Canis lupus familiaris: one gene and its partner. The protein of the gene in region 1 binds, or shares a complex with, the protein of each later gene. Links are inferred from orthologs where the notes say so. Each region holds a gene or a part of one and is shown on either strand. Other genes may lie near its edges.

Region 1 (4,383 bases):
ACCCTCCAAGTCCAGATCTGCCCTGGACTTGTCCCTCTTTTCCCCAGATCTGCGCCCATCCCTTTACATCTCCAGGTCCTGTTTCATACCCTAAACCATACTCCTCTACATTCAGTTTCCTTTATATTCAGCTTTTTGGCCATTCCTGGCTCCTCCAAGTACCTGAATGTCCCGATAGAATTTTCGCAAGTTGTGCTGTAATAAAAAGCACTCAGGGTCCTGGCCGCAGCGGCCACACTCATACTTCAGTTGGTCCAAGAAATGGAAGAACAGCATGTTCACCTTGGAATCATCATTGCCCAGGGCAGCCTCCTGCCTAGGGACCAGGAATGACAAGGATTAGTATCCCTGCAGCGTTCCTACTGTCTTTTGTGGCCTCCTAACCCCTTCTAGACAACTTTGGTGTCTCCAGGATCCTGGGGGCTCAGAAGAAACTACTTTCCACACCCCACTTCCTGAGGAACTCACCAGTTCTGATCTTCAATCCAGACAGCCAAGTGCTGTCGAATGTCCACTGGCAGGAGGCTATCTGAGTAGAGCTGATGCAGCTGATCCTGAAATGGGTTGTCGAGATTCTGTAGCATCTCCCACTGCGCCATTTGGGGTCTGAGTCTGAAGGATGCACGTTCCCAACTGGAAATTTTGCTGGACTAAATCATCCACAGTCTCATGATTGCTTATCACTATAATAAAAAAAATTAATTATAAAGGTACGAAAAAAAAGAAAACTGGAGCTACATTGATCTCACTCCTAATGTTGGTCTCTTCCTCTTCTCTCCACAGGTAACCAATATTATCAGTTTAGTTCATATTCTTTCAGACAGTACTATTTAGGAGCTGCAATATGTGGGCCTTTTTGTTTTAATGATCAGTTCTTTTTTTTAAGCCTTTATTTATTTATTTATTCATGAGAGACACAGAGAGAGAGAGGCAGAGACACAGGCAGAGGGAGAAGCAGGCTCCCCGCAGGGAGCCCGACGTGGGACTCAATCTCGGGTCTCCAGGATCACGCCCTGAGCCCAAGGCAGACACCCAACTGCGGAGCCACCCAGGTGTCCCTTAATGACGATTTTCAAACACACACCGAAGTAGAGTGAATAGTACAAGAATCATCCATTTACCCATCATTCAACTTTACTAAACATTAATATTTCCACCATCTTAATTTCATCTATCTCCCCCAGTGAATTTATTTTAAATTTGTATTCGTGTTTACTTATGCTGGAACATTTCAAGATCATAAATGGGTTATAAATATTTATTTCAGCATGATCCCTGATGGTCCCAAAGCTTTATCAAGGGCTGAAACCTTAACAATCTGCTCTCCATGTAGGAAGGAGAGACTTCCTTCCAAATATTTATTTTTTTTCCAAATATTTAAATACTTAAAAAAAAACACAAATATTTAAATACTCTACAAGGAGGTCACTCAATCTCTAAGACTGTGATACTTTTAAGACCTCTATCAACCTCTGACTCTTCATGTATATTATCAACTTTGTGAGAGACCCAGAAATTCCCCCCCACCCACAGAGGCAGGGTTGGGCAAAGAAAGCAGAGGCTTTTTTTTTTTTTTTTTTTCAAGCAGAGGCTTTTGTTTGTTTTTTCACCATGAAACTTCACTCAAAACTGGTATTTGAAAAAACAAACAAACCTGGTATTTGCCTGCTACCAAGTAGGCTGGGCTAAGAATCTTTCTTCCTCTCTTTCCCCGCCCCCTGCCAACTGCCTGCTTAGGAAATCAAAACCTATTCTTGTTGAAGATTAAACCTAACAGAAAAGAGTATTTACATACATCCGTGGTCCAAAAAAGGTGACATGATCTTATCACCAATGAAAGAAAAATGTCTGGGGTGGGAGAGATTGTGTTCCGTCAGTATGAATAATCGTGAGATGCTTTTCTACCTCTTTGAAGTAGAAACGGGGAGGAAAGGATTGGTCAGGGACTCCTATTTTTCATTTTAATGCTTTTACTAGTGCTTGGCTTTGAAATCTATGCACCTGTACTGCTTTAAAAAAACAAATGGAGAGTCTCCACTTCTTAAGGAAGGAATCTCGACTGTTATGAAAAGAGCAAGGTGGCAAGTTAACCGTAAGGTTTAAATATGAGAAAACAAAACAAAAAAGCATGGTCTTCCCAAAACAGACCGCAAACACGAGGCCTAAAGGCTGTAACGCTTTTCCCCCAGCTATCCCTCACTCTCTTGGGCATACATTTTTTGCTCAATGAGCTTTTTGGAAAAGGACTGCATTTTGTGTGTGACCTTAGGCAAATTGTTTCACCTTTCTGTCCCTTACGCTTTTTTTTTTTTTTTAAGATTTTATTGGTTCATGAGAGACACCCAGAGAGGCCGAGACGCAGGCAGGGGAGAAGCAGGCTCCATGCAGGGAGCCGACGCGGGCTCGGCCCGGACCCGGGGTCACGCCCTGGGCCCAAGGCGCCGCTGAACCGCTGAGCCACCGGGCTGCGCTGCCCCTTACACTTCGTAAGATAACAGTGAAGGAAGTGAAATCGTATCTACCTTCAGACATCCTTTTTTCTTTTTTTGGCGAGAATCAAACCTAACACAGCCCGGAGGGTCAAGGCGCTGGCTAAGGGATTCCGAGGCTGCCGGGAGCGTCTGGGGAGCCGGGTGTCAGCGCCGGCGGCCGGGCTGGATGGGAGACTCGCTCACGCAGCAGGGGACAGCTATTTCGACTTAGAGACGAAGGCTCACGACGAGCGGGCGCACCCCAGGGCCTGCCGCCTTCCCCGGGGAGCGACGCGCGCCCGCACCCCGGCCCCGCGCGGCCCCCTGGGCCCGTACCTGCCGAGAGGCTCAGGATCCCCTCCGTCCAGCCGCTCCGGGAAAGGCTTCCGGCCCGGGGAGGGAGCTCGGGGCCCCCCGCGCGCCCCGCCCGGCCCCGCCCGGCCCCGCCCCCGGCTCCTCGGCCCCGCCCCCTCGGAGCCCGCGGGCTGGAACGCGCGGCTGAACCCGGGAGCTCGCCGTGCGCAGCCTGGCAACCGCGACGCTGGCGGCCGTTCTGCCAGTGCCCTCCGCCCGTTGGCGTCGCCACAACTCCTCCCCCGCGGGGCGGGACCAGCGGCGCCGAGACCACACCTCCCGCCCCACGATTGGTGGGATCGCTCAAGGACGCCCCGCCCCCGTCCCCGGAGGGGAGGAGTCCCATTGACGGAACAGCCGCGCGGCGCCGCAGCTGATTTCCGAGAATCCCCGCGGCGGCAGCGAAACCGAGACCGGCCCGGGGCGCTGCAGGCTCCCAGCGCTCCCGGAGGGGCCCGGAATGTCGATTCTTTGGGGCGGGAAGCGACGAGCTGTGCCAATAAATAACCGTTTACTGATGGTACCTTGCTAAGCACTGACGTTCCTTGTATCATTTTTAATTTCCACAAAACCCATCCAGGGAAAATGATTATCACTACTTAAGACGTTTTGTTTCTTTTTAAAGATTTTTATTTATTCATGGGAGACACAGAGACCTAGGCAGAGGGAGAAGCAGGCTCGCCATGCGGAGCCCAATGCAGGACTCCAGGACCACGACCTGAGCCAACAGGCGTCCCACGCCTCTACTTTAGATGTTTTATTTTATTTTATTTTTTTAAGTACATATTTTATTTATCTACTTTAGATGTTTTAAAAACTGAGTGTGGAGAAGAATTGTAATTGAGGCTCCTACAGGTGAAGCCTGGATTCAAATCCAAATCTTCTGACTCCAAACCCCAGACTTTAAAATCCCTGCATTTTAGAGCATTGCCTTCTTCCCTGATAACCAGGGATTTCGATGTTGAACACATATACATTACAGCTTGTCAAAATATTAGATTTATTCATTCTGTGATCACCACCTTTTATATCCCAAGACTACCATTTCCGGCATCTAAGTCAGAGTTATTAAATAAACCCTAAACTAATAAGAGAGCTGAACTAATACCAAAGCACCGTGGTAGTTGTTTCTTCTAGGTCACCCACATCTGAGATACCCCCCAAGGCCTTCCTGCTGATCACTGGCAGAGCCGTGTTGGCCTCTTGCTCATAGTAATACTGGATCAACTGTTGAATCCCAGCCTTCACTGCAGGTTTAAGTGCGGAGCTGATTAGTACTCCTGTGGGTCCCCCAGACCATCCAGCAAGGGTCATCAGAAGGTCATAACCCATGTCTACGAGCCCATCTTGGCCTCGTTCCTTGGCCTTGTCTGAACAGCTCTGAGCAGCGTAGTACAAAGCTGTGCCCAGATTGTAGTAGGTTCCCACTACTGGAAACAACCGGACTACATTATGCACATTTTCCTCCTGCTCCTGCTCACAGTCATTGATAGGAAGGGAGCGTCGAGCCCTTTCTGGGCCTGGTTGCTCCCTGGCCAACAGCTGTAGAGCAGAGGCC
Region 2 (2,693 bases), on another chromosome or scaffold:
GTGGCCCCTGGCCTCAGAAGATGAAGCTGCTACCCCTGTCCTCCCTTGGCTTCTCTCGCTGGACCTCACGTTTCTCATCAGCAAAATGAGGGTGTGGGGTTCTCGAGGAGCCCCTCCATCCCCCAGGCCCTGGGGCTGACCAGGCGGACCCCTCAGGTGAAGCACAGGGGCAGCTGGTGGTTCTCTGTCCACAGACTACTCGCTGCTGCTCACCTTCATCTACAGTGGGCGCATGGTGGGCAAAGCCCAGGTGCAGAGCCTGGACTGCCGCCTTGTGGCCGAGCCCTCCGGCTCCCAGTGCGGGATGGAGCAGGTCGTCTTTCCCAAGCCTGACCCTCCAGAGCCCACCCAGCGCCTGCTGAGCCAGATCGAGAGGGGTGTCCTGGTAGCCAGCAACTCCCGGGGCCTCTTCGTGCAGCGCCTCTGCCCCATCCCCGTCTCCTGGAATGCACCCCAGGCCCCACCTGGCCCAGGCCCACATCTGCTGCCCAGCAATGAGTGTGTGGAGCTCTTCAGAACCACCCACTTCTGCAGAGGTGAGGCTGTTCCAGCTGAGCTGAGCCCCTGGCTCCTTGTAGCCCCGCCCTGGGACCTGATAGGCTCTGCCACCACCCTGTGTTTCTGCCAGTAGATCCCTCATCACAGCTGATGTGTGGCACCCTGCCCTTGCACCGTGCACATCCTGTGGGGCCCTGTGCTCCGCCCTGGCAGCTGTCTGGCAGCCACCCTTCCCTAGTCCAGGCCTCGGAAGATGAGGCTCAGGTGGAGCTCAGCACACATGTCACGTCTCGGGGACTGCCCCCGCCTGGCAGCATGCAGTGATGGGAGGTGTGCCTGCTGGGCCTCTCCCGCACAGGCTCCCACACACACCCTCCCCCTATTCACCGGCCCTGCCACACTCCGGGCAGCTCCTCTGGTCATTCTTCTCCCATCCACTTCTGGAATTCTACTCCTGCCTCCCTTCACCTGTAAATCTGGCCAGGAGTGTAGGGGACACAGAACGGGAGAGTTCCAGGGCCGTGGGTGCCCTTGGGGGGGGGGGGGGCGGTGAGCCAGCAACAGAGTGGGGTACCTCTGTGTCAAGCAGACCCGGCTGCCAGGAGGACTCTTAAGTTCTCCAGCAGAGAGCTTGCAGATCGTATAAAAATCAGTTACCTCAAAGTATTATTCGAGGAAGGGGCGCCCTTTGCTGTTTGCACATGGGAGTAGCAGCTTAGTTGCCACCGTTCCTCCTGGCATAAGGCAGCCGCCTCACAACCCTGCGGCTCCAGTTCTGGCCCCACAGCCATCCGTCTTTGTCCATGGTGGGCCCCTCTCGGTCCCCTCCCTGCCTGTGGCCCCTGTCTTCTCTTTCTTCTAGCCCTTAACCCTTTTTCCTTCATCAGACCTGGTCAGGTACTTCCAGGGCCTGGGTCCCCCACCTGAGTTCCAGGTGACACTGAATTTCTGGGAGGAGAGCCCCGGCCCCAGCCGTACCCCAAAGAGCCTCATCACGGTGCAGGTGAGTTCAGGGCAGGGGAAGAGTAGGCTAGCCTGCCCCTGGAGGGCGTGTGTTGGGGTGGTTCCAGCAGGAGACGGGGCCTGGGGGGAAGACCTCCTAGGGTAGTGTCTGCTCTTGGCTGTGCTCCTGACAAGCTCTCCCCCACCTTCTCTGGCACAGATGGAGCAGGCCTTTGCCCGACATTTACTGGAAGAGACTCCAGAGGAGCAGTCAGCTGCCGTGTCCCTGCTGCAGAGCCTGGGAGACCCTGCTTCCTCCTCTCCTCTCTCTTCCTCCTATCTGCTTTGAAAGAGACTCATTCTCCACGCTGTTGGCCTGCCTCCCTCGGTGACAGTTCTCCGTGGTTGTCTCTGACAGCTGCGTCCTTCAACTGCTCATGTACCCGGCTGGTGGAGAACTCAAGGATGATCTTTATACCCCCTGTTTTTTGTTTTTGTTTGTTTGTTTTTGTTTTTTTGAGATACACCTTTCATTTCTGAGGAACTGACCTGGGAAAGTCCAAATGGTATGAACTCAGGGGACCTTTCCCTCTTCCCCCAGTCCTAAAGCCAAGCACTTTACATTTTCTTCTTAGATGTTCACTAGGGATTTAAAATAAAATTTTTTGAAAGAGGAGTCAGTATCTGCTTTGTTGGGATGAAAAGGTAGCAGGGGTCACAGGGAAGTGAAAGAGATGTAAGGTGAGAGTGAGTACTTGGGTTCTCTTCCTGCTGACCTCTCTGGGCCCTTTTCATCTCCTCCACCGGCAGGTTCTGGCTAGGACGCTGTCTGGGCTCTGTGGGTTCTGGGCCTGGGGAGAGGGGAGAGGTTAGCCACCCGGAAGAGCACAGCCTACAGCTGCTGTAGCCACCAACCTCACGCGGAAAAATCTGGGCTCTTCTCTTCTTGGCTAAGGCCTCCGATTCGGGCCTTACAACAGGCTTAGGGTTGGACTCTGGGCAGGAGTTCTAAATGAACAGGTGAACTTGGAAGTTGCCCTCAAATTCTGGGCTACAAGCACTGGGGCCTGGAATGGGCGGCAGAATCAGAGGGAAGAGCTGCTGAGCCTCCTGTGCTGAGGGAGACCAGGCCCTGGCACCTCTTCTCCCAACACATGGGGTGCTATCCTCTCAATGGAAGGGACTCCCAAACTGTTTTCCTTGCTCTACCTAAGCCCCATAGAAGACCATCTGGCCTAGGCTGCAACGTCACC

What was found.
Region 2: the proteins of STAT2 (region 1) and IRF9 are in contact, whole or in part, in a crystal structure (PDB 5OEN), measured with the Mus musculus proteins. The link is inferred for Canis lupus familiaris from reciprocal best matches to the Homo sapiens genes STAT2 and IRF9. Residues at the interface, in NP_064347.1 of Mus musculus: Arg163, Gln164, Lys166, Asp167, Glu168, Asp170, Val171, Phe174, Arg175, Thr177, Val178, Phe179, Leu181, Lys182, Asp188, His190, Gln191, Gln193, Gln194, Leu197, Thr201, Lys204, Met208; in NP_032420.1 of Mus musculus: Leu206, Leu208, Tyr212, Leu233, Asp234, Arg236, Ser244, Glu245, Ser246, Ser247, Met248, Asp270, Arg271, Leu274, Val275, Ala276, Asn278, Ser279, Arg280, Phe283, Val284, Gln285, Leu287, Cys313, Glu315.

What each region holds. Positions count from the first base shown.
Region 1 is NC_049231.1:1,010,899-1,015,281, forward strand, and holds the start of STAT2 (signal transducer and activator of transcription 2), read right to left. Parts: upstream 2,926-4,383; 5' UTR 2,808-2,925; intron 2,739-2,807; exon of another isoform or gene 2,523-2,738; intron 684-2,522; 5' UTR 600-683; coding exon 469-599; intron 317-468; coding exon 163-316; intron 1-162. Other genes in the region: APOF (apolipoprotein F), read right to left, coding at 3,927-4,383. UniProt on the Homo sapiens protein: Signal transducer and activator of transcription that mediates signaling by type I interferons (IFN-alpha and IFN-beta).
Region 2 is NC_049229.1:4,280,188-4,282,880, forward strand, and holds the end of IRF9 (interferon regulatory factor 9), read left to right. Parts: intron 1-194; coding exon 195-536; intron 537-1,385; coding exon 1,386-1,501; intron 1,502-1,660; coding exon 1,661-1,789; 3' UTR 1,790-2,116; downstream 2,117-2,693.